Linked DNA regions of Pelodiscus sinensis. The protein of the gene in region 3 purifies or fractionates together with the protein of the main gene of each other region. This does not show direct contact. Links are inferred from orthologs where the notes say so. Each region holds a gene or a part of one and is shown on either strand. Other genes may lie near its edges.

Evidence for each region.
Region 1: the proteins of CAPZB (region 3) and WASHC5 purify together in Homo sapiens (co-immunoprecipitation; 4 studies listed by BioGRID and IntAct, counting the BioPlex papers as one, with this or other methods). This does not show direct contact. The link is inferred for Pelodiscus sinensis from reciprocal best matches to the Homo sapiens genes CAPZB and WASHC5.
Region 2: the proteins of CAPZB (region 3) and PPP1CA purify together in Homo sapiens (affinity purification with mass spectrometry; 3 studies listed by BioGRID and IntAct, with this or other methods). This does not show direct contact. The link is inferred for Pelodiscus sinensis from reciprocal best matches to the Homo sapiens genes CAPZB and PPP1CA.
Region 4: the proteins of CAPZB (region 3) and WASHC4 purify together in Homo sapiens (co-immunoprecipitation; 4 studies listed by BioGRID and IntAct, with this or other methods). This does not show direct contact. The link is inferred for Pelodiscus sinensis from reciprocal best matches to the Homo sapiens genes CAPZB and WASHC4.

Annotation. Positions count from the first base shown.
Region 1 is NC_134712.1:18,604,261-18,612,054, forward strand, and holds the start of WASHC5 (WASH complex subunit 5), read left to right. Parts: upstream 1-4,788; 5' UTR 4,789-4,927; exon of another isoform or gene 4,928-5,042; intron 5,043-7,794. UniProt on the Homo sapiens protein: Acts as a component of the WASH core complex that functions as a nucleation-promoting factor (NPF) at the surface of endosomes, where it recruits and activates the Arp2/3 complex to induce actin polymerization, playing a key role in the fission of tubules that serve as transport intermediates during endosome sorting.
Region 2 is NC_134714.1:127,061,809-127,069,716, reverse strand, and holds the start of PPP1CA (serine/threonine-protein phosphatase PP1-alpha catalytic subunit), read right to left. Parts: upstream 3,015-7,908; 5' UTR 2,858-3,014; coding exon 2,803-2,857; intron 633-2,802; coding exon 501-632; intron 286-500; coding exon 55-285; intron 1-54. Other genes in the region: TBC1D10C (carabin), read left to right, coding at 4,472-4,657, 6,048-6,063, 6,581-6,785. UniProt on the Homo sapiens protein: Protein phosphatase that associates with over 200 regulatory proteins to form highly specific holoenzymes which dephosphorylate hundreds of biological targets.
Region 3 is NC_134733.1:7,659,551-7,666,756, forward strand, and holds the start of CAPZB (F-actin-capping protein subunit beta), read right to left. Parts: upstream 3,012-7,206; 5' UTR 2,941-3,011; coding exon 2,878-2,940; intron 1-2,877. UniProt on the Homo sapiens protein: F-actin-capping proteins bind in a Ca(2+)-independent manner to the fast growing ends of actin filaments (barbed end) thereby blocking the exchange of subunits at these ends.
Region 4 is NC_134711.1:97,591,208-97,599,001, forward strand, and holds the start of WASHC4 (WASH complex subunit 4), read right to left. Parts: upstream 2,976-7,794; 5' UTR 2,932-2,975; coding exon 2,871-2,931; intron 1-2,870. Other genes in the region: ALDH1L2 (mitochondrial 10-formyltetrahydrofolate dehydrogenase), read left to right, coding at 2,976-3,326. UniProt on the Homo sapiens protein: Acts as a component of the WASH core complex that functions as a nucleation-promoting factor (NPF) at the surface of endosomes, where it recruits and activates the Arp2/3 complex to induce actin polymerization, playing a key role in the fission of tubules that serve as transport intermediates during endosome sorting.

The DNA.
Region 1 (7,794 bases), on a different chromosome or scaffold from region 3:
TAGTTTGGGGAGAGATGTCTCTCCCCCTCGACTGCAGCTATAGAGCTGGAGCTGGGAAAGGAGCAGATATCTCTTCCCCCTCCTAATCTCAGTAGCCAGCGAGGACTGCAAAGGAAGGAGGTTTCTCTCTCTGTCCCCCGCCATGACAGCCCCCAAGTTGGGGTTGGGAAAAAGGGCCATCTCTCCCAAGCAGCTGCAGCCCTGAAACTGGGGGAAATTGCCTCTCTCTCACCGGCACAGCCCAAATTCCCAACATCCCCTCTTTGCAACCCACTACCCTCTCCCACATAGCCATTGTTCCCCCCAAGGCCACCACCTCATCTTACAAGTGCATCACTTTCTGAGTCCAGGCACTTAATTAGTGGAGCCATGCCCATGTAGCCTCACTAATTAGGTGGGTGGCCCTTCATTATTCCCAGTGTGGCAGCACACCTTAGCTTAGAGGGAATTATCTCTGGACTACCTGAATGGAGCTCCTGGGCAGCTAGTGATCCACAGACCACAGTTGGAGAATCTCTGCTCTAATCTTTTGAAAACTGCTTGTTTTATTAGATTGTAGGATGTTAGGGCAGGCAGGGATTGGCTCTTTCTCTGTGTTTACACAATACATAGCATAATACATCTGTGGATGCTACCACGCTATAAATATTAAACGACAACAACACAGTAGGGCTGGAAAGTGCCTCCATAATAATCTAATTCACGCCTGTGAACTTCTGCTTGATTATTTTCATCACTGAACAGCACCTTTGGACTCTTACGGAGCACTTCAGAAGTACCGATCCTTGGCATTTTTGTAGCCCTATTCATCTTCTTTACACTGTTGAATATGAATTCTCACATTGATGTTCTGTGCTGTAGGAAAGCATTACACCCATTCTTCAGACTAGTGATGTGAAAGACTAGTCAGATAGAGGCAGCAAGGGGGGAGGAAGAAGAAGGGGTACCTCAAAGTGGCAGCACCGCTTGAAGCCTGGGGCCAGACGCTGAGCTACACATGGTGCTGCCACTTTGAAAAGCTGTGTGCCTTCTGGGGCCAGCTGAGGTGTCCCCAAGCTGCACACAGTGTTTCAAAGTGGCAGCACTACACGGAGCCTGGAGACAGCTGGGGAATCCACAGCTGACCCTGGGCTCAGTGCGGTGCTGCAGGCTCCTTGTGGCATTTCAAAGCTGCAGCGCCTAATGGAGCCTGGGATAAGCTGGAGACTCACCCCCGCTAACCCTGGGCTCCATGCGGCCCTGCCACTTTGAAACAACGCCACAGCATTTCACGGTGGCAGCTCTGCACGGAGCCCGGGGTCAGCGGGGATGTCCCAGCTGTCCCCAGGCTCCACGCGGTGCTTTCGCCTTTGAAGTGTAGCAATAGCCCTAGGGTGCCCTATTGACTAATGCATAGACTTTCAATTAGTCATTTACCCTATACTTAACATCCTTACTACAGACAGAAAACCTAGAGATTTCACCACAGTATTCTGTGCAAACCTGAGGTTATAAATTTCCTCTTGTAGTTTTACATAAGAACGGCCATACTGGATCATACCAATGGTCCAACTAGCCCAGTATCCTGTCTTCCAACAGTGGTCAACAGCAGATGTTTCAGAGGGAATGAACAGAATAGGGAGGTGAAAGGTTAACCAGTTAACCAATAAGCATCACCCTAAATGTGTAATGCTTACTGGTTCCAGTTAACCACAGGGGCCAGAGCAGCTCCGCACCCACTCCAATCAGGGGGCTACTCCAACCCCACAGGACCCTTGGCAAGCAGGGGCTTTTCTGGCCAGCCAGAGTCTGTGATGGGCCTGGCCCAGCCTTCCCACCAGAGGTTGCAGGAGCAGGGCCAGCAGCTCTCACCAGCTCCTCTGTGGCAGGGAAGCCTCCTCTCCAGGAGCAGAGCCGACAGGGACTGGTAACCCCACTCTCAGGGAGGCTTCACTGTAGGCTCTGCAGTATAAAGCTTATTAGACCATCTTTTTAGAGAATCTTTCTAAGCAGCCACTGTTCTTGTCCGTATGTCATGGGATTTTCAACATACCGCTCCTGTGCACGTGCCAATGCGGCCTGGCTCAGTGCAGCACCTCATGGAGTAGAGACAGTGGGAGCTGAGCCTGCAGAACACAAGGAGAGGGGAGGGAAAGGGAAAGGAGGGGACTGAGCCATCAGAGCATGGGGAGAGGAGACGGAGGGGGCTGAGTCTCCAGATCACCGCGGTGGAAGCAGAGCTGCCCCTGAGCCGAGATGGGTGGCTCTTTCCTTCTGGCCCCTGAGCACCGGGCGGGCAAGAACCTTGCAGTTTTTACTAGTGGAAACACACTATATTTAAGACCAAAAAGACAAAAATATTTAAACTTTTTAAAATCTCAGCAGTTCCACACACTGCGGATTCTGCAGTATAAAGTTTAAAGTATATATATAAAAAACACTGTGAGAAGACAATCTTTCTAAAAGCGCACCAAAAGACTAAAAATAAAGTTTTCACCTAGCAATTTAGGAGAAAGATTGGATGGCTAAATATGATTCAAGGTAGTTGCTAACTGTTAGCCATCCAATCTTTCTTCTAAATTGCTAGCAAACAGAGGCTAAGGACACCCACTGCATGGGGTTGCTTCCCTTTCCTTTTCCAATTCTAATATATCGTTTTTGAGAGGGGATGACCAAATCTACATGCAGTATTAAAGATTTGGACATACTATGGATTTATACAGAGGTATTAGGATATTTTTGTTCTATTATTAAGGTTGAGATTTTGCCATAGAAATTTTTCAAAGTCACAGACAGGTAACAGGCAACAAACAAAAATTCATAAAATCCATGTCTGTAAGGTGGGGAACCTGACAATCCGAGATCCACCCTGTTGGTGGGGTGACTTAAAGCTGCTTCAGACCCAGGAGCAGGGGTGGAGGCTGACAGCTGCTTCAACACTCCTGGTGTGGTGCAGCTGTAGTCAAAGAAGCCACATGGGTCCATTAAAGTCATGGAATCCATAACTTCCATGACAAAATTATATCCTTATTTACTATCTTTCCCTTTTCTAATGATGCCTAACATTGTTACCTATTTTGACTGCCTGGACATTGAACATGTTTTCTGTGAACTATTCACCATGATTCCTTGATCTCCCTCTTGAGGTCTAAATTAGCTAGTACAACTCATCACACTGTAGGTATAGCTCAGATTATGTTTTCCAACAGCATTACTTTGTGTTTTATGTCATTGCATTATTCAGATATTTATGCTTATACTGCACTGCTTTCTAGCTGCTGCCAGAAGGATGAGGAGTGTGTTTCTGACACTGTAGTTTCCTTAGTAAGGATGTTAAGAAGAGGGTAATTGACTCATCATAGTTGATACAATTTGCCTCTGATAGAGGCAGTGTGGGTGGGGGGACAGGTAGCACTGCAGAGACAGTGCTGGGGGAACTAGCTTTTAAGCAATCCAAATTGCTCTGAATCAGTGACCTGTCCTCTTCATTATTTACCAGGACCCCAATTTTTGTATAATTTACAAACTGTATCAATGATACTATATTTAAAAGGCAGAGCTGCAGCAGTGGACCCAGCACAAGATGGGATTCAGCAATCCTAGCTCACGCCGGGTCCTGGACCACCACACCTCTAATTTTTAAATGTAGTTAAGAAGCTCTGCCTTTTAAACGTAGTAAGTATAAATTGTATTGAGTACATGACTAGTCAATTACCTGCTACCTAACACATCCTTACTCTCAAGGCCACCCTCCCAGACACTCTGTGCTCCCCTTTGTTCTTCTGTCTTCATTGTCCTAATGCTGATCCCCAACCCCATCTCTCCCCATCCTCCGCAACCCGATGGGGGAAGAGTTCCAGCTGAAACATCTGAAACATGCAAGTCTGCCATCTTGGCCTTCCTATCCTGGGGCCACACCACAGGCTCTGCCTGGCAGGCATGGAGGTGACAGTAGCACTGCCACTTGGCTGGGGTGGGCAAAAGGGCACCCCTTGCTGGGCCAGGACATGGAGTGAGAGACTTCACATGTTCTCCCCCCCCAACCCCTCTGCCTGCCCGTAGGCCAAGCAGAGCTTGGGGATGGAGGGAAGCGTGCAGTCTCCTCCCACCCTGTAAGGGTTAGAGTCAACTGCCAGGCCCCCTTGTGGGGCAGGGGCAGGGAGCAAGAAATTTCCCCATGTTTGCCCTGCTCTCATGCCCTCATTGACCGGAGGGCAGGGGGAGCAAGCAAAGCCTCTCTCTCCCTGTCCCCACCTTGCAAGGGGCGCCCTTTTGCCCACTGCCAGGGACATGGGTGCCTAGAGGGAACAGCTGGTGGTTCTCTATGGGGGGGGGGGGGTGAGGGCAAAGACTTCACAGGGTCACCCAGGCCAATCGGGGTCTGTGGACAGGAAAGCAAGAAGTGTCCTGGCCCCTCCCCTTCCACAGTGGCCAGGGGCCACTTCAAAAATTTCTGAAGTGCCTCCCGTCTAAAATTATTGCCCACCCTGCTCTAGACTGACCCATGCTGGAGGGAGCTGCAAGAGATGCCTCAGGGGCAACAGATGCATCTTGTTAGGGAGCAGCCTCTGGAGTCTAACCTAAGTGGGGAGCATCACACACACACACACACACTACACTCCTAAACACACACACACACCCTCTCACACACACACACACACAGCTGAGTGCTTGAGGGAGGCCTGCCAGCCTCTCCCCCGCCCCCTCATTGCTGGCTGCTTCCCCCTCTAGCAGCAGCCGCCCGCCAACCCCTACTCTGCCCGTAGCTCTGGCGGGGCCGCAGCTGCCCCCCTACCTGGTGCCAAGCCCCGAACCGGCAGCGGCAACAGGCCGCGCTCGCCTCCCCCCCCACCGTTGGCGAGGTCTCTCCGCGGCGCAGGCGGGCCGCGGGCAGGAACCGACTCATCAGCCGGCGCCGGTGCACATGACCCAGGGCCGCCGGCGCGGGGTAGGCGGGCCGCTGCGCGGAGAGCTTCCGTGTGGGGCGGCCGGGCCTGCAGTCGCCTGCGTCGGCCTGAGAGGCCTGGGGGAGCCCGGCCAGCAACCGGGGCGCGACTGGCTCAGTAAGGGGGGTTGACAGGCCCTGGTCTTTCTTGGGGGGCTCATATTTGGGGTGGAGGGGGGAAGCAGGGGCTCCACCCACCCCTGAGGAGGCGGGTGCTTTGACTTTGGGGGGCGGTTAATTCTGGGGTGGTCCTGTGCTGAGGGGGTGCTATGACTTTGGGAGATGCTGTGACTTTGGGGGCGGTTAATTCTGGGGTGGTCCTGCGCTGAGGGGGTGCTATGACTTTGGGAGATGCTGTGACTTTGGGGGCGGTTAATTCTGGGGTGATCCTGTGCTGAGGGGTGCTATGACTTTGGGGGCAATTAATTCTGGGGTGGTCCTGCGCTGAGGGGGTGCTATGACTTTGGGGGGCGGTTAATTCTGGGGTGGTCCTGTGCTGAGGGGTGCTATGACTTTTGGAGATGCTGTGACTGTGGGGGCGGTTAATTCTGGGGTGATCCTGTGCTGAGGGGTGCTATGACTTTGGGGGCAATTAATTCTGGGGTGGTCCTGCGCTGAGGGGGTGCTATGACTTTGGGGGGCGGTTAATTCTGGGGTGGTCCTGTGCTGAGGGGGTGCTATGACTTTGGGAGATGCTATGACTTTGGGGGGCGGTTAATTCTGGGGTGGTCCTGCGCTGAGGGGGTGCTATGACTTTGGGGGGCGGTTAATTCTGGGGTGGTCCTGCGCTGAGGGGGTGCTATGACTTTGGGGGATGCTGTGACTTTGGGGGCAGTTATTTCTGGGGTGGTCCTGCGCTGAGGGGGTGCTGTGACTTTGGGGGACAGTTAATTCTGGGGTGGTCCTGTGCTGAGAGGGTGCTATGACTTTGGGGGATGCTGTGACTTTGGGGGCGGTTATTTCTGGGGTGGTCCTGCGCTGAGGGGGTGCTGGGGATTAGTGTGGGGCTGGCTGTGCTGGTGGGAAAGTGGGGGGTGTTTGTCAAGCACTCTCTGGGCATTTCTCTGGAGGAGAGGATACCGCGCAAGTGCCTGGTGGCTGCGGATTTGGTGCAAAGGAAAATGGTTTGCGCGCAGGGGCGGGCAGCGAGTGGGGCTGAGGTGTATTCCAACGCACATGCTGGAGATCACAGCTGGGTGAATGCAAATGACTTCTTGGGTATCCCCTTGAAACATACTGTGCAAAAGCGATAGAAATGTAGCCGTGTTAGTCTGGTGTAGCTGAAACAAAAGCAAAAGCCTTTGACTGCTAAAAGCAGCCTTTAATAATTACACCAAAATGAGGGCCTCTCTCTGTCCCAGGGAACAAGACCTAACCGCTTCTGCGAATTATTCCTTTTGGACAACTGTCAGGCTGACTTAGAAATATTTTAATGTGATATTCATTTAAAATCAAGAAACCATTTTTTTAAGAACAGGATGAGGAATAATTTAAAGCCCATTCATGCTCTCCTTGATTTAGGCCCTGGTCCTGCAATAAGTACTGTACAGGCCAACTTCTGCACCCATGCAAAATTCATTCCAGGGCTGTGTACTTAAGAGAAAGATTGGACCCTTACTAGGTGTGTTGTAGCAGAGTGGCTTTAAAGGAGAAGCTTTCAACTTGCATTTAGCTCAACATTTCTTAAAATAAGCTTTTGTGAGTCTAATATAAATACAAAAGTTTCCACAGATGGTTTTTAAAAATGAAAACAGATGTCTTTGACATTGTTGCAGTAAATATCTCACAGGGAAAGTGATCATAAATATAATTGCCTTTGATTTCCATTGGCCAAGCTGAGAGACATGCAAAAATGAAACAAATTGTTTAACTGAACTGTTTGCAAGCTTAAGACATAATTTTCATTTCTTATTCATACTTTACATATGATTGTATTGACTGAAATTGTATGAAGAAGGAGGTGCTTGCAACACTTGTGATTTTGTTTTAAGAAGCCTTGTTTGCGCTCTGTGTTTGCTCCAGTGACAACTGTAGCTCAGGCTGTGTTTCTGGATACCTACCTTCTCTTCCTACCTCTGTCACTTACTTGTTTTGTCATCTTGGGCAAGTAATATAACTTTCCTGTGGCTCAGTTAACTTATTCCTGTGGGTCAGATAATTTATCTATAAAATGGCTATATTTATTGTGACAGGTTTGATCATAGAGAATACAGAAACGATACATGCATATATAGATTATACACATTCAGTGGATTACATGCTTTTCAAATAGAATTATATGCTATATATTGCACAAATCATATTCAAGTTAGGCATATTCATATTCAAAAGCATATTTCTGTAAAGTATATGGAAGTGCAACTTCACATTTATGTTTACCCCTTTTGTAAAAGAGGACTACATATTAGATAAATATTTCAGCTATATTGGAAAGAGATTGTTACTGGTTTCCATTAGTATTAAAATACATTGTGCAATATAGTACAGTGAAATATACCAATACCACCTGGGAGTAAAGCAGCAACATATTTGTTTTCTTATAATGTTCTCTTTCTTTGGGGAGAGAGGGCCTAGGAGTTCCCTAGCACATAGAGGCACATAGACAAATATAAACACTGCAGCTGGTTAAGGTGTTCTTGGGCTCTTTTTAACTGGGAAAATTAAGATTTCTGACTTGGAGAAAGATCACTATGGCTTGGAAATTTAACCACAATACAAAAGGTGTCTGTGTAGCAATGAATAAATGACCCTGAACTGTAATTAGCTGTCATTGATCTATGCTGTAGCATATTTGCTTGTGTTGTGTTGTAGATCTAAACTGCTCTGTGCAATCCTTGTGTCAATGTTTACATTTTGCTGCAAGGCCTGAC
Region 2 (7,908 bases), on a different chromosome or scaffold from region 3:
CTGGTGGCGTGTGGGGAGCAGGGTGGTGGGGACTCGGGCAGGGGCCACACTCACACTCATCGTAGAAGCCGTAGATACGGTTGATGCTGGCGCACTCGTGGTTGCCACGCAGCAGGAAGAAGTTCTCAGGGTACTTGATCTTGTAGGCCAACAGGAGGCAGATGGTCTCCAATGACTGCTTGCCCCGGTCCACATAGTCGCCCAGAAAGAGGTAGTTGCTCTCAGGCGGAAAGCCCCCATATTCAAAGAGCCGCAGCAGGTCATAGTACTGCCCGTGGATGTCACCTGGGGAGGGCAGGAAGTGAGATAAGGATCACCCTCCAAATCCCCCCCCCCGAAGAGTCACCTCTGGAAAGGGCCAGCAAGGGGGCCACAGTTCCACCCCTGACCTCCCACCCAGCCCGGTCTGAGCCAGGGACTCCACCCACAGCAAACAAGGGGTGCAGGGAATCCCCACATCATCTCTCCCACGGCAGCTCCCGCCCCCCAGCCTCACTCACCACAGATCTTGAGCGGCGCTTCCAGCTCCAGCAGGATGGGCTGGCTCAGGAAGATCTCCCGCGACTTGAGGCAGAGGCCCCGGATCTCGTTCTCCGTCAGCTGCACATTTTTGCCAGGCCGCGAGCCTTGCACTGCAACATAGAACAGTGGGTGTCTGCTGGGTCGAGGTCCTAGCTCCTGCACTGCTCAGAGACACTCCCACAGATCCCAGGGCCACTCCACAGATGCTGGAATGATCCAGGGGGCCACAGGGCTGAACCCGGAGGTTCTTCTGGACAGGCCCGTGTACCACATCCCAGCCAAAGGCCAAGGGTTTGCCCTGCCCCTTCCACTTGAAGGCCAGGTTAACAGGTGACTCAAGACCAACAAAGGGGGAAGGAAGAAGGCACCACAAGAGTCCTGGCCTAGCCTGGGTCCTCACTGATCTGTGCAGGCAGCTCAAGGAGGCGCAGTTAGGCTGGGATCACACAGGCCCCTTGGCCAGAACCCAGATGGGCTCTTCAAACACTAGGACAGCTGGGAGGCCCTGAGCCCCTCTCCCTCGTCCTGCTGAGTCAGCCAGTGCCCCCCACCATGGAGTAGGATCGGAGTTGGTGCATGCTAGAGGGAAGCCTATTCCCTACTCCCTAGCTCTGGAGTGGCCAACCTGTGGCTCTTCTGAAGTTAATATGTGACTCCTTGCTCAGGGCACTGACTCCGGGGCTGCAGCTCCAGCTGCCAACCTTCCAGTGCTCAACTCGGCTCCACCTCCTCCTCCAAGTGTATCGCACCCTCCCTCCTTTCCTCCCCCACAGAGCCTCCTAAGTGCCTTGAAACAGCTGATTGCAGTGGGCAGGAGGTACGGGAAAGAAAAAGGAGGCGCTGACCGGTGGGGCATCTGGTGGGGAAAAGATAATGGAGACGGGAAAGGAGGCACCTGATGGGGACTGCTGACAAATTACTGTAGCTCTTGGGCAATGTACATAGGTAAACTGTGGCTCCTTCTCAGGCAGGCCACACTTGCCCTACTGGTCACACTGGAGTGCTTTCCGCCACCGCACACTGCAGAATACACAAGCTTCGAGAGGCAGGTGGCCCAGCAACTGATGCTGGACTGGCATGCTGGGTTCTTTCCCCACCTCTGAATTGCTCTAATCTTAGGCTGCTTCCGTCCCCCATGCCTCAGTTTCCTTACGTGCCTCGGTTTCCTTATATGACACAGGGAACCGATGCCTCTGCTTTGCAATATGTGATGGACAAGAATGGGAGATCACATAATCTGCCATTCAGCACCTGCTTCAGCCCAGGGTCTAGCCCCAGTGGTCTGCTGCCAATCTGGCCAACGTAGCTGGGGTCCCCTCCCCCCCCAACACCCCTAGTGTTAAAAGGATCAGGGAAGTAACAGCTAATCTCCCCCACACATTTTGTTGGCAGCACTGGAACAAAGAAGTTAGCACTAGGAAGACTGGTTAACACCTCCCCCCTCCCCGTTTCACATATACACAAGGGGGGGGGGGGGGCTGGCCAGGAAAGCAGGGGTTACTCAACATTCCCCGCACCTACTCTGGCCCCAGGACTGCTCAGGCCGGTCCCAGCCCTCCAGAACTCAGGCTCCTCCCCACACTCCCCCAGGGCTTTCAGGAAGAAGGAAACTGACGTCAGACACAGCAGGGCTCTGGGGGCGGGTGGGGTGAAGGGAGCTCGATTCCCCCCCGCTCCCCATAACTAATGTTGCTGGGGGCCGGCCTGGGGGATAGTCCCCATTCTTTGCGTGGAATTAAGTGGCGGGGAGGGTGAAAGGCCAGGAACACCCCACTCCCTGCCCCCCTCTTCCTCCACCAACAGCCACACTCTTCCCCCCATCTGAGATCAAGCCCCCACCGCGCCTCCAGGAATAGGAGTCTCTAGCTCCTCCATGGGGCCTATGGGCAGCGCGCCCCACACGGGGCTGCAGCGAAACGGACCCGTCAGGGGCCCGGGGCAGCGTGGAAGAGACCACTGGAGCTCCGCGACCCCCACGCCGCCTTCCCGCGTAGGGGCCAGCCCCGGCCCTCCTTGCACCCACCCACTCCCTGCGCCCAGCCCCGCGTGGGGCCGCCCTCCGCCCGGGATCGCCCAGCCGGCAGGAAGAGCCGAGCGAAAACAAAGGAGCGAACGCGGAACTTCCCGGAGCGCCCGGCCCGGGTCTTTGCAGCCCCGGGGCTTCCCGCAGCCCTTCCCGGCCGGCGGCCCAGCCTATGCACGGGGGGGGGGGGGGGCAGGATGCAACCGGGCAGCCCCCCCCCCCACGCCCGCAGCCCCCTGCTCGGGCCTCCCCCGCACCTTCCAGCAGCCGCCCAATGATGGAGTCCAAGTTGAGTTTCTCGCCCTCCGACATGGCGGCTTTGCGGAGGGGCAGGCCCGGACGCCTGGCTTCCTGCTGCTGCACTCGCCCCCCACCCGCCTGGCTGCGCTAGGTCCGGGCCGACTGGAGGCTGCTGGGGCCGAGAACCTGCCGGCTCTGCCGCTTTCAGCCAGGAGGCGGGTCGGGAGCGCGCGGCCTGCCGCCCCACCTAGAGGAGCGGAGGGATCATTGGCAGCCACCCGCCCAGAGCCCCGGGGGAGGGGCGCCGTTCCGCAGCCCGTCCCCTGCCAGCAGGGGGCGCTGGCTGCCGGGCGCTCCCAGCGACACCAGCCGGACCTCGGCCAGCACAGGGAGTTATGGGGAGCGGGGTGGGAGCGCAGGCTGCAGGTGGAGCACGGAGCTAGTCTAGACCCGGCCTCTGCCGGCAGGGGGCGCTGTGGGGGTGGGGCACTAGCTGTAAGGAGCTCCCATCTACACTAGCCCGGCTTCTGCCAGCAGGGGGTGCTGGGGGGTGGGGGCACTATCTGTAAGGAGCTCCCAGCTACACTAGCCCGGCTTCTGCCAGCAGGGGGTGCTGGGGGGTGCGGGCACTATCTGTAAGGAGCTCCCAGCTACACTAGCCCGGCTTCTGCCAGCAGGGGGTGCTGTGGGGTGGGGGCACTAGCTGTAAGGAGCTCCCAGCTACACTAGCCCGGCCTCTGCCAGCAGGGGGTGCTGGGGGGTGGGGGCACTAGCTGTAAGGAGATCCCAGCTACACTAGCCCGGCCTCTGCCAGCAGGGGGTGCTGTGGGGTGGGGGCACTAGCTGTAAGGAGCTCCCAGCTACACTAGCCCGGCCTCTGCCAGCAGGGGGTGCTGGGGGGTGGGGGCACTATCTGTAAGGAGCTCCCAGCTACACTAGCCTGGCCTCTGCCAGCAGGGGGTGCTGTGGGGTGGGGGCACTAGCTGTAAGGAGCTCCCAGCTACATTAGCCCGGCCTCTGCCAGCAGGGGGTGCTGGGGGGTGCGGGCACTATCTGTAAGGAGCTCCCAGCTACACTAGCCCGGCCTCTGCCAGCAGGGGGTGCTGGGGGGTGGGGGCACTAGCTGTAAGGAGATCCCAGCTACACTAGCCCGGCCTTTGCCAGCAGGGGGCGCTGTGGAGGTGGGGGCACTAGCTGTAAGGAGATCCCAGCTACACTAGCCCGGCCTCTGCCAGCAGGGGGCACTGTGGAGGTGGGGCACTAGCTGTAAGGAGATCCCAGCTACACTAGCCCGGCCTCTGCCAGCAGGGGGCGCTGTGGGGGTGCGGGCACTAGCTGTAAGGTGCTCCCAGCTACACTAGCCCGGCCTCTGCCAGCAGGGGGCACTGTGGGGAGGGATGCTCACTCTGAGAGCAGGGGGCGCTGTGGGGAGCAGAGTGGAGGCACTGGCTGGGGGCGAGAGGGAGTGCCTGGCTACTCCAGTCCCAGCCTCTGCCAGCAGGGGGCACTGTGGGGAGGGATGCTCACTCTGAGAGCAGGGGGCGCTGTGGGGAGCAGAGTGGAGGCACTGGCTAGGAGCGAGGGGGAGTGCCTGGCTACTCCAGTCCCAGCCTCTGCCAGCAGGGGTTGCTACAGGAAACAGGGTGGCAGCACTGCCCCACATACACTTCCCCCTCCCCCACCCGCATGCTGCTTGCTGCCTCAGCCCTGTCAGGTGCAAAAGGAAATGACAGTGCGGAGGAAATAAGCTTGCAGCACCCACGGGGAGTGCACCAGACTGAGGTGCTGCCACGGGACAGATGCAGGGCCACACCGCCTGGGCACTGCTCCGTTGGGAATGGCCCAGGGCATGAGCTAAGGGGACTGGACACAGTGGAGGTGAGTGGGAACGGGGGAGCAGCTCAGTGGGAGGGCTCCTGGAGGGGCAATAGGAGGCGATAGGAACCTCCCTGAGCTGTACTGGGGCCAGGCTTGGAGGCAGGAGAGAAAAGAGAAGGGGGGGGCAGGGTTCTGTGTGAGTGTGGGAGAGGGATGTTACACGTGTTCCCTTTCCAGTACACATAGGGCTAGAGGGGTTGGGCCTCAGGACCAGGGGATGGGAATGCAGGGGCTCTGGGCTGGAACCAAGGATGGAAGGGTCGGGGTTCAGAGCCCTGGGATGGGCAGATGCTGGGGGGGAGGGGTCCTGGGCTAGGTAGACCCTGGGGAAGATGGGAGCACAGGGCCCTCCACTGGAACTGAGGGGAGATGAGGGTGAGGGGCCCTGAGCTGAGCAGACCCTAGAGGGGAAGAGTCCTGGGTTGAGCAGATCCTGGAGGGGATGTGGGTACGTGGCAGATCCTGGGGGAGATGGAGGTGTGGGCCTGGGTAGGGCAGACCCTGGAGAGGATGTGGGTACGTGGCAGATCCTGGGGGAGATGGAGGTGTGGGGCCTGGGTAGGGCAGATCCTGGAGGGGATGTTGGTGTATGGCAGATCCCGGGGGAGATGGAGGTGTGGGGGCTGGGTAGGGCAGATCCTGGAGGGGATGTGGGTGTGTGGCAGATCCTGGGGGAGATGGAGGTGTGGGGACTGGGTAGGGCAGATCCTGGAGGGGATGTTGGTGTGTGGCAGATCCTGGGGGAGATGGAGGTGTGGGGCCTGGGTAGGGCAGATCCTGGAGGGGATGTGGGTGTGTGGCAGATCCTGGGGGAGATGGAGGTGTGGGGCTGGGTAGGGCAGATCCTGGAGGGGATGTGGGTGTGTGGCAGATCCTGGGGGAGATGGAGGTGTGGGGCTGGGTAGGGCAGATCCTGGAGGGGATGTGGGTGTGTGGCAGATCCTGGGGGAGATGGAGGTGTGGGGCTGGGTAGGGCAGATCCTGGAGGGGATGTGGGTGTGTGGCAGATCCTGGGGGAGATGGAGGTGTGGGGCTGGGTAGGACAGATCCTGGAGGGGATGTGGGTGTGTGGCAGATCCTGGGGGAGATGGAGGTGTGGGGCTGGGTAGGGCAGATCCTGGAGGGGATGTGGGTGTGTGGCAGACCCGCATTCCCACTCACCTCCACTGTGTCCAGTCCCCTTAGCTCATGCCCTGGGCCATTCCCAATGGAGGAGATGGGGATGTGGGACTCTGGGCAGTGCAGATCCGGCGGGGATGGTAGGATGGGGCTTTGGGTGGGGCAGTCCATAGGGGTGATGGGGATGCGGAGCCCTGGGCTGGGCAGACCCTGGAGGAGATGGAGGAGCAGGTCCTGAATGGAGCAAACCTTGAGAGGGGTGGAGGTGCAGGGACATGGGGGTGAGGGGACCCTGGGCTGGGAAGACCTTGGGAGGGATGAGAGTGCAGGCTGCTGGGCTGAACACACCCTGAGGGAGATGGAGGTTCAGGGCCTGGGCTTGGCAGACCTGGATGGGGGTGCGGGCCCCTGGGCTGGGCAGACCCTGAGGGAGATGGGGGTTCAGTGGCTGGGCTGGGAAGACCCAGAGGGAGATGGGGGTGCAGGCCCCTGGGCTGGGAAGACTCTGAGTAGGATGGGGGTTCAGTGGCTGGGCTGGGCAGACCCTGAGGGGGATAGGGTGAGGGACCCTGAGCTGGGCAGAACCTGGCAGAGATGGAGCAGGGACTGTGTGATGCAGACCCTGGGAGGAATGAGTAAGAGGGGCCTTGGCTGGGCAGCCCCTGGAGAGGACGGGGAGAGGGGCCTGGCAAGTTATACTTCAGGGTTGTCTCCTGGGATGTTCGTTTCTGGGCTGGCCTTGCTGGGCACTCACTGCGGGCCCCTGTCCCTGCCCTCCCTCCCCTGCAGGGTGCTGAGATCACGGCATGGCATCCGGCCCTATGTCCTCCGCTGACTCCTCCAGCCTCAGCACCCTGGAGGAGCTGTCCGATGCCTTTGACTCCACCCTGGGGCGCCATGATGACTCCAGCTCGTTGGGCTCCGACTCTGAGCTGAATGGGGCTGCCCCCTATCGCCAGACGGACCGTTACGGCTTCCTAGGGGGCAACAGTGCCCAGGATGGGTGAGTGGGACACATCTGGGCATCGGAGCACTAAAAGGGGGGCATTGTGGGGGCGGGAGGTGCTGTGAAGGGCATTGCTGGGGTGGCCCAGATGCCGGGTTCTATTCCAAGTCCTGATTTCTTGCACCCTGGAGCCATTGTGGGTACTGGACTGACACCCCCATTGCCAGCCCCGCAGAACAATCTCTTGGGTTCTGTGCCAGAATCCAGCATCCCCCCCTTCTGTGCACTGAGGCTATGGGGTGTTCAAGCCCAAAGAATGGACATACGCGGAGAAACTGAGCCCCTGGCCTGGGGATGAGTCAGGCCACACCCCAAGCTAAGAGTAGCAGCTTGTGGGTGTTGCCCTGCCCCCTGCCTCTTTCCGAGTCTTGCTCCTCCTAGGGGTGGGGCAAAAGCAGGGAAGGGGTGGAGCTTGGGGAATGAGGGTCTTGGGCACTGAGGAGGGGGACAGTTTGCAATTCTTGCATCATGCCTCTGTGCACCAGTCCCCTCTTCCTAACAGCCTGATGTAAGAGAGCCCTGGCCCAGGGGACCTGCCAGTGGTGCCCCCGAGGGTCCCTACACCAAGCTGCTAATGAGCCAGTTCTGCCAGGAAGGCACAATGGCCCAGGGCACCCCGGCTCACGCTCTGTTCCTTCCCCCAGCTGGGAATCACAAGGAGGTGCAGTGTCCCAAGGCTGGATTCAGGCAGAGTCGGCTTCAGCAGCCTCATGGCTGGCTAAGTTGGGGTTGCTGGAGCTTTTGGGGTGGGGTTCGGAAGAGTCTGCACCAATAGTCTCCAACCTTTTGAAGCCCAAGATCGCTTTTTGAATTTAAGTGCAATCCAAGATCTACCTCAAACCCAAATACCCTTTCCCTGCCTCCTTCCCGCCCCTTCTCCGAGGCCCCGCCCCTGCTCACTCCCTTCCTCCTGCCCCTTTTCTCCCTCCCTTTCACCAGGCAGGCTTTGGTCTTGGACTAAGGGATTTGGCGTGTGAGAGGGGCTCTGAGCTGAGACTGGGGCAGGGGCTTGGGATGCAAGAGAGGGTACTTAACTGGGGCAGGGGATCGGCGCTGGCTCCAGCTGGACACTGCTTACCACAGATGGCTCCTGGGGGGTAGTGCAGTGGGGCTAAGGCAG
Region 3 (7,206 bases):
TTTAAAAACCAGCTCCCTGTTCAGACCATCTGCCTGCCGCCTTGCGCTGCTGCTTCTGAAACAGAGGCAATGGCACATGGCGGCAGCAGCCCCCGTCTGGGGGGGGGGGAAGGACACACACACAGTCTGTCATCACAGAGCAGCCTCTGACCACAGTGGGCCCAGGCTCACTGCAGACAGAGGCTGCTCTGCAAGATGGGGGGGGGGGGGGGGGGGGAGAGAAGGAGGCAGAAATGTAGAGCTGGGGGGGGAGGCTTTTAAATCAGCTCTCCCCAGCACCTGCTTCCACACACACACACACACACACACCCCTCTGCTGCCTCTGATACAGAAGCAGAAAGGGGGAAGAGGGGGGAGAGAATGCCAGTAGTTAAGATTAAACTTAGGCTTATTGGTTAATTGTATACTTAACTATTCATTTATATCCCTAGCCCTCTCTGAAAAATCTTAAACCACTTAAAATAGCAAACTAGAAATGATTGCCCCAACCTACATCATTGGCCATAGTTCATCTATTAGAATTTCTGAAAAAGCACTGAAGCGCAGGCAATGATTCATAAGACAATATAAAGTGATATTTAACTTTGTTAATTGACTCACTTTTGTTTACCTTTCTTTGAATAAAGCATACATAATAAAGACAGGATGTTTGCGAGTGCAATCAAAATGTATCAACTACTTTCACACATTATCCTTGGAATTTATGTACTCATGCTTTGTATAATTAAATGCTTCCTTGCAAGACTGGATTCCATCCACTAAGGACTTACAATGGGGTCTCAGTCTTAGTTGGAGCCTCTAAAATCTACTGTAATATAAAAAAAATAAATATTTTAACTGTACAAAGGTACAAGAACCTCATTGTCAGCTGCTTAGAAGAAAAATAAAAAGTTAGGCCTTCAGGTACTTGAAAGCATCAGTGAAGATTTTAAATACTGATACTGCATAAAAGTAGTCCCCCAAAAGAGGAATTTTTCTACAATATTTAGACTAGCACATCAATAGCGTCTTCTCAACCAGTCTTCATACAGTTATGAAAAGGAAATGAATATCTTCAGCTATAAGATTCAACTACAGGCAGTCCCCGGGTTACGTACAAGATAAGAACAAACCTACAGTCCCTAAGTTGAATCTGTATGTAAGTCGGAACTGGCGTCCAGATTCAGCCGCTGCTGAAACTGACCGCCAGTTCTGACTTGCATACAGATTCAACTTAAGAACCCCAAGCCTCCCCAAGTCAGCTGCTGCTGAAACTGATCAGCAGCTGATTCCAGGACGCCTGGGGCAGAGCAGCTGGGGTGCTGCTGGGTTGCTCCAGTAGCACCGCTCCTCGCTCCTTGGTGCTACTGGACCAACCCAGCAGCACCCCAGCTGCTCTGCCCCAGGCGTCCTGATTCAGCCACTGCTGAAACTGACCAGCAGCAGCTGAATCAGGACCTGGGGCAGAGCAGCTGGGGTGCTGCCGGGTTGGTCCAGTAGTGCCCAGAGCGGCGCTGCAGGACCAATCGGCAGCGCCCCAGCTGCTTTGCCCCAGGGTCCACAACAAAAGCCTGATCTGCTGGGGGGGGGGCACACTAGCTGCGCCCCCCCCCTCCCCCAGCAGACCAGGGACACGGGGAGCACAGCCACAGCAGCAGCGGGGTGCCGTGCCTCTGAGGCTTTGCTCTGGCAAAGTCTCAGAGGCGCGGGACCCTGCCGCAGCTGCGGCTTCAGTCCCGGTGCCCGTGGTCTGCTGAGGACTGTCTCCAGCAGACCAGGGGCACCGGGAGCAAAGCCGCAGCAGCGGCGGGTTCCCGCGCTTCTGAGGCTTTGCCAGAGCAAAGCCTCAGAAGCGCGGGAACCCGCCGCTGCTGCGGCTTCAGTCCCGGTGCCCCTGGTCTGCTGGAGACAGTCCTCAGCAGACCACGGGCACCGGGAGCAGCTTACGAACGGGGCTCTCTCGCCCCGGAGCTCGCAGGCAGCAATCCGCCACCTCGACCTCCGGGGCGAGAAAGCCCCGTTCGTAAGTCGGGGACTGCCTGTACTCTACCACCACTTTGGGACATCAGTCTTACAATTTGCTGAGTGGAGGGACATCCCTCAGACATGAGCCTGAAGTGGGGCTCTACACAGAAATGAGACTGTCCTGGTAAATCTAACTACTTCATCAGATCTTTGGCTAGAAGTCTTGTGCTTGTTTATAGCGGAAGTATCTAATGGAATCTAGGATAAGTAAAAACTGCCGTCCATTTGAAATAAAAGAAAAGTTTTAAAAATTGCAAGGTAGAGGAAACATGTTATTCCATTCACTGAGCAGCTCTCAAACAAGACTGAGTACACCTCCAGATCCACGTAAGAAAACCAATGCACAAGCATGACATGGTCTTCTATTAGTGCTAAACACAGCTTTCCCTAGAAGCAAGGATAAGCTGATCTTTCAAGATATTTCCAGGTATTAGAGTTATGACACTTCAATCCACTTTATTAAAGAAGTCTACATGTGTTACAAAGTAGCCCAAAACCTTAAAATGACCATTCAAGTTTTATAAATAATAACAATTTAGCCAGAAATTAGAGTTGCCACTATATAATCACAGGTTAGTTTTGAAAGTGACATACATTCTTCGGCACACACACACACACAACACACTTCCATTTCACAGACAGAATTAAAGTAAGAGTCTTGAAAAGCCATAAAGGACTAAACAGTATACATTCACTTGATAATATGATAACATAAATGTATAGTGAATTGTAAACCAAGCTAAATATCTCAAGAAACAGATGCCCTATCTACATCTGCAATCCCTGCATTCAGAAATGAAGATTCACAGCAGTTCACATCTGTTAAGAGCTCCAGTAGCTTGTTTGCCTGTTACAAACAAGATGCAGTCTCACCATTTTAGCTGACATCACCTTAACTTCCTGAATTTCAGGTGAAGGTTTACAGAAGAGAATCATTCACCACCTTGAATGCCCAGTCCCCTGCCCAGCTTCAGCTCAGGGAGCCTTTTCTTCCTCCCCCAAACAACACCATGCAGCTCTGGAGGCACCTGCTAACACATCTGTCTCTCACCACCAAACCACGTTAGCAGAGCACCCCTCCCCGGCCCTTCCGACTCTGCAGGCCTGAAAGCAAACCTCCCTTGCACCCTCCTCCCCCACATCATGCAAGCCCTGGAGCCACCTGCTCTCAGGCCCTCCCCAAGTCACCGTCCCACCACGTCACAACCCTTCCCGCGCTACTTTCCAGCCACGACATGCGACCTCGCTTCCCACCCCCGGCACCGCCTGCCCAGAACTTGCTCGCTCCGCCCGGGAGCAGGAAGCCCAACGGGCCCTGCCCGGCCAGCACACCCATGCCAGGCCAGGCCGCCGGGGAGAAGGAAGGAGCCCGAGCTGCACGGGGAAAGAGGGGACTAGAGCGAGGGGGCCGGGCAGGAAGGGACCATGCAACAAACGGAGCAGGCCCCTTTCCCGGGGGCGCGGGCACAACCGAGCGAGGGTGGAAGGGAGCACCGGGAGCTGGGCCCCAAGGAAGGGGGGGGCAGCTCCGCTCCGGCGGCCCGCAGCTCCAAGCCTCTCTTACCATGATGGCTCCGCTGGGCTGGGCTCTAGCGACAGCGGCAACTTCCGGTCCCGTCCGGTATCTCTCTGAGCCAGGCCGCAGCCCTGCCACTTCCGCCGTGCCCGTTGCCTAGGAGTGCGCATCCGGGTCACTAAGACTCGGCCCCGCCCATCGCCGCTTCTTAACCAATCCGAGCGCGGTTCTCCGGCCATCGCCAAGTATGGAGCGCAGTACGCGTCGTTCGTTCGGGGGACAGGGAGGAACTAGGAGTGGGACAGACCATTTTCTCCTCCGGGGGGGGGGAGGGGGAACCATACCAGGCAGAATGAGAAGGAAGGAATAGGCAAAGCCGAGGGATAGGGCAAGCGAAGGAACATCCCTGCGAGATGAGATGGGGCGAGTGCAACAAACATGGAGGAGAGAGAGCGGAGTGGGGGGAAGACACAGATCAGGAGGGAGCAACCACTTGCAACAGCGTGGGGAGAGACAACGTGCAGGGGGAGGAGCTGTGCAGAGGGAGTGACCAATCAGGGCAAGGAGGAGGAGAGGCCAATGGGGAAGTGAGATTGAGGCCCCACCCAACGGCAAAGGGGTGTGTTGGCTGGGCCTGGCAGAGGCTTGGAAGTTCTGCTGTGTTGCTATTGCCCCTTGGGTTTAAAAAGTGAATCTTGAGGCAGCCAACCGCGCCTCTCACAAGGGCCTGGATCAGGAAGACGTCACTGCATGTGTTTAAACTCGGGGCAGGCTTTTCACAACAGTGCTAGTTGCATTTATAGGTATAAAAGCTGAAAACCAGTGTGCAAAGTCAGCACTCAAAACTTCAGAAATGGAGAATAAAGGTTGCTCATGCAATTAGGATTTGATCCCTGTGTGCATATTTATGTACCATTTTTAATTATGCTAATGTCACATACTGTGTTTCCCAGGACCACTGGCTTACGCAATGCATGGGATCATAGAGGATATTGAGTAATCATTCTTTAGAGTTACCTTTTCCCATCAGAGAGACCAGGCACCATTCATGATAATGGTGTCAGGTCCCACAGGTTGGAAAAGTTGGCACTCTTACTCAGTATTTTGTGTTAGATTTATGTGTGTCCCCCAGCTTTATTTAAGTAACACTATTCAAAACCTGCTCTGAAAACAGAAACATTAATTGTCTATGTGGGCTTTTCTGTGGGGTTTATCACTATAGTACCTGAGCATTTAGCAAACAATTAATTTGCTTCCACAAACCTGTGGGCTGTGTCTAGATTGGCCAGCTTTTCCGGAAAATCAGCCGCTTTTCTGGAAAAAGGTGCCAGCTGTCTAAACTGGCCGCTTGAATTTCCGCAAAAGCACTGACTTCCTACTGTATGAAATCAGTGGTTTTTGCGGAAATACTATGCTGCTCCCATTCGGACAAAAGTCCCTTTTGTGCATAAGGGCCAGTGTAGACAGCTCAGATTTGTTTTCCGCAAAAAAGACCCGATTGCGAAAATGGCGATTGGGGCTTTTTTGTGGAAAAGCGCGTCTAGATTGGCCATGGACACTTTTCCGCAAAAAGTGCTTTTGCAGAAAAGCGTCCGTGCCAATCTAGACGCTCTTTTCCGAAAATGCTTTTAACGGAAAACTTTTCCGTTAAAAGCATTTCCGGAAAATCATGCCTGTCTAGACGTAGCCGTGAAGTAAAGGAGTGGTGTCATTTCCATTATACAGATAGGAAAATGAAACACTAGGATTAAGGCCAGAAATGTCCACTATTTTGGGGAGGGCCCAGTTTGAGGTACTGATGTCCTGATATTTCAGAATACTGAGTATTATAAAGAAATATTTGTGTTCAAAGCTCATCTTCCATCAACTTCAGTTTGTAGCTGCAAGTGCTCAGCATTTCTGCAGTTCCAACCCCATATATATGCAAATATAACTCCACTGAAGCCAGGAGAGTAATGCCAAGGGAGAATCTGGCCCATTGCATGGCAGCACTTTGCTCTATAGCTTTTTTGGAACAAATGTTTGGCCTCTGCTTCACAAGACTTGGAGTGCCTGATTCCGGAGGACCCTCTGTTAATGCTTTTTGGCATATGAATTGCAGACTTGGCACTAGCATAAGCCAAAAACCCTTTTGTTGCTCCATTTACTTTTCCTAGCCTGGAGGTGCATGCTGTGGAACTGGAAATGCTGACGAGAAGTCACAAAATGTTTCCTCGTCTGATGTAATGTCATTGGATCTGGTATGACATTCTCTGCTATGTTGTGTGAAATGCTTCCATTACGATTGTAACAGAAGCTCTATTCTGTGGGGAATTGCTTCACATTTTCCACGGATATAATATCATGCCCATATATCCTTCTGGCTGGATATGATGAGGGAACAGCTCTGATTTTACTTTACCAGGTTAATACAGGCAGTCCCCGGGTTACGTACAAGATAGGGACTGTAGGTTTGTTCTTAAGTTGAATCTGTATGTAAGTCGGAACTGGCATCCAGATTCAGCCGCTGCTGAAACTGACCAGCGGCTGACTACAGGAAGCCCGAGGCAGAGTTGCTCTGCCCCGGGCTTCCTGGAATCAGCCTCTGATCAGTTTCAACAGGCTGAATCTGGACACCAGTTCTTACATACAGATTCAACTTAAGAACCGCAGGCGTCCCCAAGTCATCTGCTGCTGAAACTGATCAGCGGCTGATTCCAGGAAGCCCGGGGCAGAGCAACTCTGCCTCGGGCTTCCTGTAGTCAGCGCTGGTCAGTTTCAGCAGTGGCTGGCTTGAGGACGCCTGGGGCAGAGCAGCTGGGGTGCTTCTGGGTTGCTCCAGTTGCGCCGCTCCTCGGCGCTACTGGACCAATCCACCAGCACCCCAGCTGCTCTGCCCCAGGCGTCCTGATTCAGCGCTGCTGAAACTGACCAGCAGCGGCTGAATCAGGACGCCTGAGGCAGAGCAGCTGGGGTGCTGCCGGGTTGGTCCAGTAGTGCCCAAAGCGGCGCTGCGGGACCAACCGGCAGCGCCCCAGCTGCTCTGCCCCAGGCGTCGGGAGAAAAGTCTGGACTGCTGAGGGGAGGGCGTACTAGCTGCCCCTCCCCAGGAGACCAGGGAGACGCAGGCGGGGGACCGAGACGCACCGCGGTCCCGCCGCCTGGGTCCTCCGCGGCTTTGCTCCACATCTCCCTGGTCTGCTGATCTGGGCTGTCCGCTGGGCCGTCGGATCCGCAGACCAGGGAGATGGGGAGCAAAGCCTCTGAGGATGCCGGCAGCGGGACAGCTGCGGCACCCGAGCTGTCCGCTGCCCCCGTGCTACGCGGCTTTGCTCCCCGTCTCCCTGGTCTGGGGAGACGTGGAGCAAAGCCGCGGAGCACGCGGGCAGCGGACAGCCCAGAGGCGCCATGGCTGTCCCGCTGACGGCGTCCTCAGAGGCTTTGCTTCCCATCTCCCTGGTCTCGTAAGTCGGATTCGCGTAACTCGGGGACTGCCTGTACCATTGTCCATTGCTTGAACCAAAATGCCATTAAATATATTAGATATGTTCCAGTATTTTTCCAAATACATGTATTTGTATTTAATGTAACAAATAGCACAAATTAAGCAGCCTCAAATTTCAGTTTGGGAAATGGATAGGTTTTCAGACAAGTTTTAGTGCACATACAGCTACTAGGTGAACTGGCACCTACAATGTGAAAAGTAG
Region 4 (7,794 bases), on a different chromosome or scaffold from region 3:
TTAGGATAGCTAATCCTTTTGGTTTGTTTAATTAACTAGGTTTAAAATCTATCATTCAAGTATACAGTGCAGAAAGCTGCAAAAGAAGAAATCTAAAGCTGCCACCAAGTGTCATTTTCTTATTTCCTACATTTCTTATTACATAATACATACCTCTTATTTTGGAACATCACAGACCATAAGGCTGATGCCATAAGTCTATTCTCTATTTTACACCAGCATAACTCAGCTTTTCCAAGGGAACCCCATTTTATACTTGTTCTCTCAAAACCAGAAGTGCTAGTGAGGTTCAATGGTGCTTGTTGGTTAATGGTTTTGCTTATACTCAACTAGCTCCCAGGGCAGCAGTGAGTGAAGCCACCTCCCTGGGAGCCAGGATGGCAGGATTTGGTGGCCCTGCTCCCAGGATAGCTTTATTGCAGGCTCCCCAGTACAAAAGCTAAATGGTTACTTATACAGTTATCCATAGCTAAGCTTTATACTGCAGAGCCTGCAGCACATATAACTGTGTAATTGCTGACAATCTCAGCAGTTACAATGTTACCCAAATACTCAATTTTTAACATCACCAATGACCATCTCCCACCACTCCTTGGCAAACAAGTTGGGAGAGTCCCCATTCCCTTCACTCTTAAAATGTTGAAGGGAAGTGAAAGACTTCTCTCTCCTATTAGCAAGAAACTGAATGAGCGGTGGCTGTTCTAGTTCTAGCTATATACCTATGAAGCAAAGAATAATAAAAAAAGATGGCACCTCCCCTAAGCTGGTTCCAGTGACAGTGTTCATATTGTATACCTTCCCAGAAGCCTGGTGATGGATTTCCACACAGATGATGTTACTGCACCTAAACTGAACTTTTCCAGTCCTCAGTCTTTCACATTTGCTAGCCAGTAGCTGACTAGCCATTCAGGAGTGATGAAATGTAGACAATTCACCGGTGTTAATAAACCTACACTTATGAGAAGCTAAAGATATTTACAGACTATCAATGAGTAAAATATTGTTTTTGCATATCACCTAAAAGGTTACCAATTAGGGATGTTAAAAAGCAGGTAATTGGTTAAATGTATAACGACTGAAAACAGTTACCCGAACCAACAACACAAGGTGGCAGCTAGTGCGCACCAGTAAACAGCTTTTATGCTGGCTCCCAGCTCACATTGGCTCCCACCTGCTGCCACACTCCTGGAAAGCCAGTGCGCACTTTTAAGCTGGCTCCATGTGCACACTGACTGCCACCCTTCACCAGCAGGTCCCTAATCTTCCTGTAATTTCCTGCAATAATGAAAATCTAAACATATAAAATGCTTTAAAATAATCAACATTATCTGTCAAAATTATAAGAAAATAAAAGCTGAATTCTGCCAAGCCTAGTTTTATACCTGATAATGTAACATTAAGAGCAGGGTAGGGATGGTCTAGATTGAGGTGGGCAATAATTTTTGATCAGGAGCCACTTCAGAAATTTCTGAGGGGACTGCCCCAAACCAGCCTCTTTCACCTGCCTGGTAATTCTGTTTCTTTTCTGTATGGTTTTCTGAGAAGCAATCCCATTCCCCGCACATCCAGTACTTTACAGTGTAACAAGTGCATTCCATGAACTTTCTTAGAAACTAAGTAATCTACAAGGACAGAAAATGGCACACATGCAGGCTGACAAAGAATTAATCGTCATTCAAAAAGTTGAAGTGAAATTGCAAGAGAATGCCCGGCTTAGTTCCCTTCAAGCCACAGCAAACACACAACACGGAACTAATTTATTCTAGCGTGACTTATCTGCTAATCAAGACAAACTGCAAAGAAAGAGGCATCACTGTTTCAGCAGGAAAAATTCCCAATGCATGTAAATACACCAGACAAAAGTCAGTTTATCCCTCTTGTTTGATTCTCCCATGATTGTTTGGGATATTTGCTAAATTATCTCAAGTAGTTACTGGGGATGTGGAGGGAGGAAAAACAAAAGAAAGATGAACCTTTAAACCACAAACTGAATATGAATCAATGTGATGCAGTTGCAAATGAAGCTAATATTCTGGGGGAAAGGAGGTATTATCAGGAGTATTGTATTCAAGACAAAGGAAGTACTTTCCTACTTTACTCAGGACTGGTGAGGGCTTAGCTAGGAACTTATCTAAATCTGGGTGCCAATTTAGGAAAGATCTGGAGAAACTGGAAAGAGTCCAGATGAGAGCAACAAAAATAATAAAGGATTAAAAAACACACACAAAACCCTGACCTATGGAGAAAAGTCATGTTTAGTCCTGAAAAAAAACCGGGGAGGAGGGGATGACCTGATGATAACCGTCAAATACACTGAGAGAAGGGGCACAGGGAACGATGATCAACTGCTCTCCATAGCCACTGAAGCCAAGATAAGAAGTCAATTGCCTTAAACTGCAGCAAGGGAGGCGCAGGTACTAGAAACACTCCCGCGGTAAGAGCTGCCAGGGACGCCCCATCACTGGAGAGCGGCCAGAGCAGGCAGGGATGGGCGAGGACAGGTTGCCTGGTCCTGCCCCAGCGCAGGCAGCTGGCGGCGGTGACCTCACCAGGCCGGACACCGGTGCGACCCCAAGCCCAGCCTGCAGCCAGACAGGGCCGGGACGAGCGACACTGACCCGCGGCCGGCTCCGGGCGCGCTGCCTCCCAGGGGGCCAGGCCCAGGACAAAGCAGGGAAGGGTCACTCCCCTCCCCCCCCCCCCGCCTGCGGAGGGCACGCGCGTGACAGGCAGGCGCTGCTGGACAACCGGGTGCAACCGTCCCTGTCCCCCCCACCGGCCGCGCTCTTGGCCGTTGGCTCCCGCCCGCGCCCCGCTGCGAAGGGGAGGGGCCCGGGGCGCTCTTCTCGCGCCCCTCCCCCGCCGCTTACTCTGGGAACCGTCGTCGAAGCGGTCGAACTCCCAGTCCGGAGAGAGGGTCTCCAGCGCCATGGCAGCAGCGCCCGGCCTCCGGCACGAGACTTCCGGCGGCGCGCATGCGCACGCTGCACGCCGGGAAATGGAGTGCGGCGGGGCGAGCGCGAGGGCGGCAGGGACGGAGCCAGCGAAGGAGCCAGGTCCTGGCCCGGAGGGGCCGCAGCAGCAGCGCCCCCTCCTGGAGCAGCCGTGGGAACTGCAGCCGCCGCCGCCGCCTGGCTGGGCCCGCGGTGCAAGGGCAGGACCGGCAACCGCCACAGCCCCGCTCGGTGCGCCTGGCGCTGGCTTGCGGGGCCGGAGCCCGGGCAGCCATTCCCGGCTCTGACACTGAGCTCCTGGGTGACCGCAGGTGGCGTCGCTCCCGGTGCCTCAGTTTCCCCACCCGGGACCTGTCTGATCTATTTAACACTGTGAGTGGGGACGTTGTGTTGGGTTTGATGAAAGTTACTTAAATTTCTTACAGACACTGTTGTAGCAGGTGAGGGCGTGGAGTTGCCATACAACAGTCCCTGTAAATATGGTAATAGAAAGGTAGCCGTGTTAGTCTGGGGTAGTTGAAGCAAAATGCAGGACTAGGTAGCACTTTAAAGACTAACAAGATGGTTTATTAGGTGATGAGCTTTCGTGGGCCAGACCCACTTCCTCAGATCAAATAGTGGAAGAAAATAGTCACAACCATATATACCAAAGGATACAATATGGGGTACAGACAGTGTGGGGGGCTCAAGGGAGGGAGTGGAGGTGCAGGCGTCAGGGCCGGAGCCTAGGGGGTGGAGTCCTGTGTTCCCTCTAAGCTGAGCACATGGGCACTCAGGAAAGGTTCAAATGCTACTCAGCTGATTAGTTGAGCACCCACAATGCCCACAGCTGGTAGCATGTTTTTCTACTTGGGGTGCACACCTGCACATGCCACAGTGCATGTAACAAAAATTTATTCTGCACATTGTTGGAAAAAATTAGAACATTGATACGGTCTTAGGCCAGGGAGCAGGGTGTGTGTGGAGGTGTCAGGGCAGGAACTTGAGGATGTGGGGGCTCAGGGGAGGGAGCTTGGTATGTATGTTGGTAGCTGCAGGAGTCAGGGTTGGTGTGAAGGGGGGCTCAGGGCATGGGGTATGTGTGGATGCAGAGAGCACAGGCGCAATTGGTATGGTACAGCAGGGAGGTCAAGCCTCCCACTCACCAAGATTCATACTAGGAGTCTGCTTCCTGTTCCCTTTCAACACTCTTGAGCAAGGGAAGCTCACAGCCTGGGTCACTCACTCCATAAATAGCACCCTGCAAATCTCAGAAGCTCATTTGGGAGTGTGCCACACCTCCACCTGCAGCCAAGTGCTTCATCAAACCCAGCTCTTTCTTGCCAGAACAGCACACCGGCTTACTTTCAGCTCTGGTTTGTGCAGGCCTGCTGATGCGGAGGCTGGTTTGTGCAGGCCTGCTGATGCGGAGGCTGGGGGGAAGGAGGGCAATAGGGGCAGTTGCCCTTGGGTCTGGCATTTCTAAAGGGCCCAGGGTTGTAGCAGTGCCTGGAACCCCATTTCCTTTAAATTGCTGCCAGAGTACCCCATGATGTGCTTCAGGCTACTATAAAGACTGGAAGGGGCTAGTTCTTAGTCATCTGAACAGCAGTGAGGGCTGGCTGCCCCAGCCCTTCTGCCCAGGCCTCCTTACCCCCCCCCCCTTCCAGAAATGCAAAGCCACGCTCCCCCTCACTTTGCCCAGGGGTCCAGCATGGCTGTTGGCTCCCCCATGTTTGTGAAATATGTACTGAGACCCTGACTCCAGCTTCTAGGTCGCAAATAATATGTCTGACTAGGGACGTAAATATCCATTAAAGTTAAACAATATACTTATAATAATTTCACCAGTTAACCATGGAGAGCTCATGGGCTCTTGTTGGTCTGGCAGGACCTCTGCCACACCAACAGCACCACAGCCAGGGGGCTGCTCTGGCCTGGTTGTGTGGAAAGCAGGGAACTGCTCTGGCCCTTCCATACCATGGGTGGGGTGCTGCTCTAGCCATGCCATGATCTGGCCCTGCAGGTGCGTAACCAGGGGTCCGTGCTGGCTCGGCCAGGCCCCCTGCAACTGAGGTCCTGCTGGCCAAAGGCCAACGGAAGAAAGGAGAATTTGCTCCCACCAGCCAGGCACTGTGGTTAACAGGTAAGCATGCCAGTAAGACTAATGCTTACCTGGTAACCAGTTAACCTTTTACATCCCTACTTCCAGTCCAAAGCAGCAGCAGAAAGTTGTAATAACAGCCATTGCAATAATTAGGTTTAAAATAAGAGCAGCAATAAAGAAGGGGAGCACCTAAGGTTACAGGATTTGGGAGGAACATCAAGAATAGGTCCACTGAGAACAGCAGTGCCACCATCTAGTGTACCAGCTGCAGAGGTAGCAATAACATCAGGAGCAGTGTCACCAGTGGTAGCACCAATTTCAATAGAAAGAATAACAGCCACAAAAGGGACTACAGCAGCAAGAGCAATATCACTGAGATCAAGGTTAACAATTGCAATAGCGTCAGGAGCACCAGCAGTTATATTCATAGCAGCTACAGATTTGCCCCATGTTACACTTACCTAGGTGAAGACAGCAATTTCATCATTTGGCATTTATTCAATTCCATTAGGAGCCCAAAGGACTAATAAATATAGACAGAAAGTGGTTTCTAGGGAAGAAAGGTTTTGCTGTGTGTGTTTTATTAAGACATTTGAAATCTCCATGATCAATTTGTATCTTGTTTAAATAGAGGTGAAAAGAACAGACTTGGAACAATAGTGCGGAGATTCATTTCTTGTCAAATAACAGAAATAATAAGTCAATCTGTGGGATAACTTGAAAAAAGAGAGATGATGTATGTATTTTTGGTACATGGCACTAGTGTCACTCCTCAGTTAACTGGTTTCTGTGCAAATATCTTTTTTAAGGCCACAAAAAAATTAAGAGCTTGATTATACAACATGCCAGGAGTGGGCAATAATTTTTGATGAGGGGCCATTCCAAGATTTTAGAAAGTGGTCGAGGGCTGCACTCTTCCGGGATATAAATGGAAAAATTCTGGGGTCTGGGATGGAGGTAAGGTGCAGAAGGGAGCTTAGGGTAAGGAAGTGGGGTGCAGGAGGAAGAATGGGGTCTGGGAAGGAGTTTTGGTGAAGAAGACAGTTGTGACCTAGGGCAGAGGGCTGGGATGCAGGGTTCTGGGATATGACCTAGGCTAGGAGGGGACTGTGATCTGGGGCAGGAGATTGTGGTGCCAAATCTGGGAGGGAGTATGGGTGCAGGAGGAGGCAGAGGGTTTGAGTATGTGGAGGGGGGATAGAGAGCTGGGGTGCCAGAGGCAGGTTCTGGCTGGGAGGCACTTACCAGCAGAAACCTGAGGCAGACAGCCTGCTGTAGGCTGCTCATTGTTCCACTGCTGGCATGAGAGAGAAGGGGCAGGAGGGAGGGAGAGAGAATGCTTCATATTCCGCCCCTGTGCCCATCAAAAATTCTTGGCTCCTATTAGCCGGAAACTGAGAGATTGACCAGTGGGAGCTAAGAGATTTTGCTGGGGGGCGGGAACAGCACAAGAAGTCCTCCTCCTTCTCCCTCCCCAGCCCTCCTGAGCAGAGAACAGCTGGCTTTTAAAAACATGAAGGCTGTGTCTACATTGGTGAGATCTTGCGCAAAAATGCTTGCTTTTGTGCAAAAACGCGCAAAAACTTGCTGCCTGTCTTACACAGGCCACAAGTTCTTGCGCAAGAATACTGACATTCTAATGTGTGCAATCAGTGCTTCTTGCACAAGAACTATGATGCTCCCACTCAGGAATAAGCCCTCTTGCACAACTGTTCTTGCGCAAGAGGCCAGTGTAGAAAGGCAACATGAATTTCTTGCGCAAGAAAGCCCTAAGGCTAAAATGGCCATCAGAGCTTTTTTGTGCAAGAGAGCGTCTACACTGGCATGGATGCTCTTGCGCAAAAGCACATCTCTTGCGCAAAGGCACATGCCAGTGTAGACGCTCTCTTCTGGAAGAGTTTTTGCACAAGAACTCTTCCGCAAAAGAGTTCTTGCGCAAAATCATGCCAGTGTAGACGTAGCCGAACTAATCTCTGCCTTAGGGTTCTGCTGAGGCAGCCATGAGTCAGATCTGATGGCTTGGCGGGCTGGATCCAGCCCAGTGGCAGCCTCTTGCCCACTCCTGCAACATGCTGAGCATCAGAAAGGACAAGGTTCTCTCACTTTCCATTTAACTCAGTGGTAAATGGATAAATGCACAGTTATCTTCACATTTGTATTAAGCTCCTGGAGGAACTGGGCCCTAATTTAGACTAAGGATATAAAATCACATTTAATTAGTTAACAGGTTAAATGTTAAGGTTAACCTATTAAATAGGGGGTGGAATGCCCCTGCACATGGCACCCGGGGCAAGTGCTGCTGTGGGCAGGAACTGCTCTGGCCAGTGGAACACCCCCTGCCTGCTGTGGGCCCCATGAAACTGGAGAAATCCCCTGCCTATAACAGGTGAGAGAAGGGGGGGTAGGTTCTCCCGACCCCCCACCAGTTAACCATTCACATCCCTAATTTAGACTTGAGATTCAGGGCCATATTCCATGTATATGCAACTTTCATTGAAGTCAGTGAAGGTCTCATATATTTAAAGTCAGGATATAGCTTCCAATTTTTAAAAATAAAACAATACGTGAACTGAATATATAGGAGAAATATATTCCAGAGTGTGTGAGTTTTTATGAGACTGCAAAATGTGAACAAAGTGAACTAACCAGACATTGTGAACAATTGCCAAGCTCTGTAATCATGTGTATAGAGATGTCTATATAGGGTGCGTCTACACAGCAGGACTTAACTTAAAATAAGATATGCAAATTGAG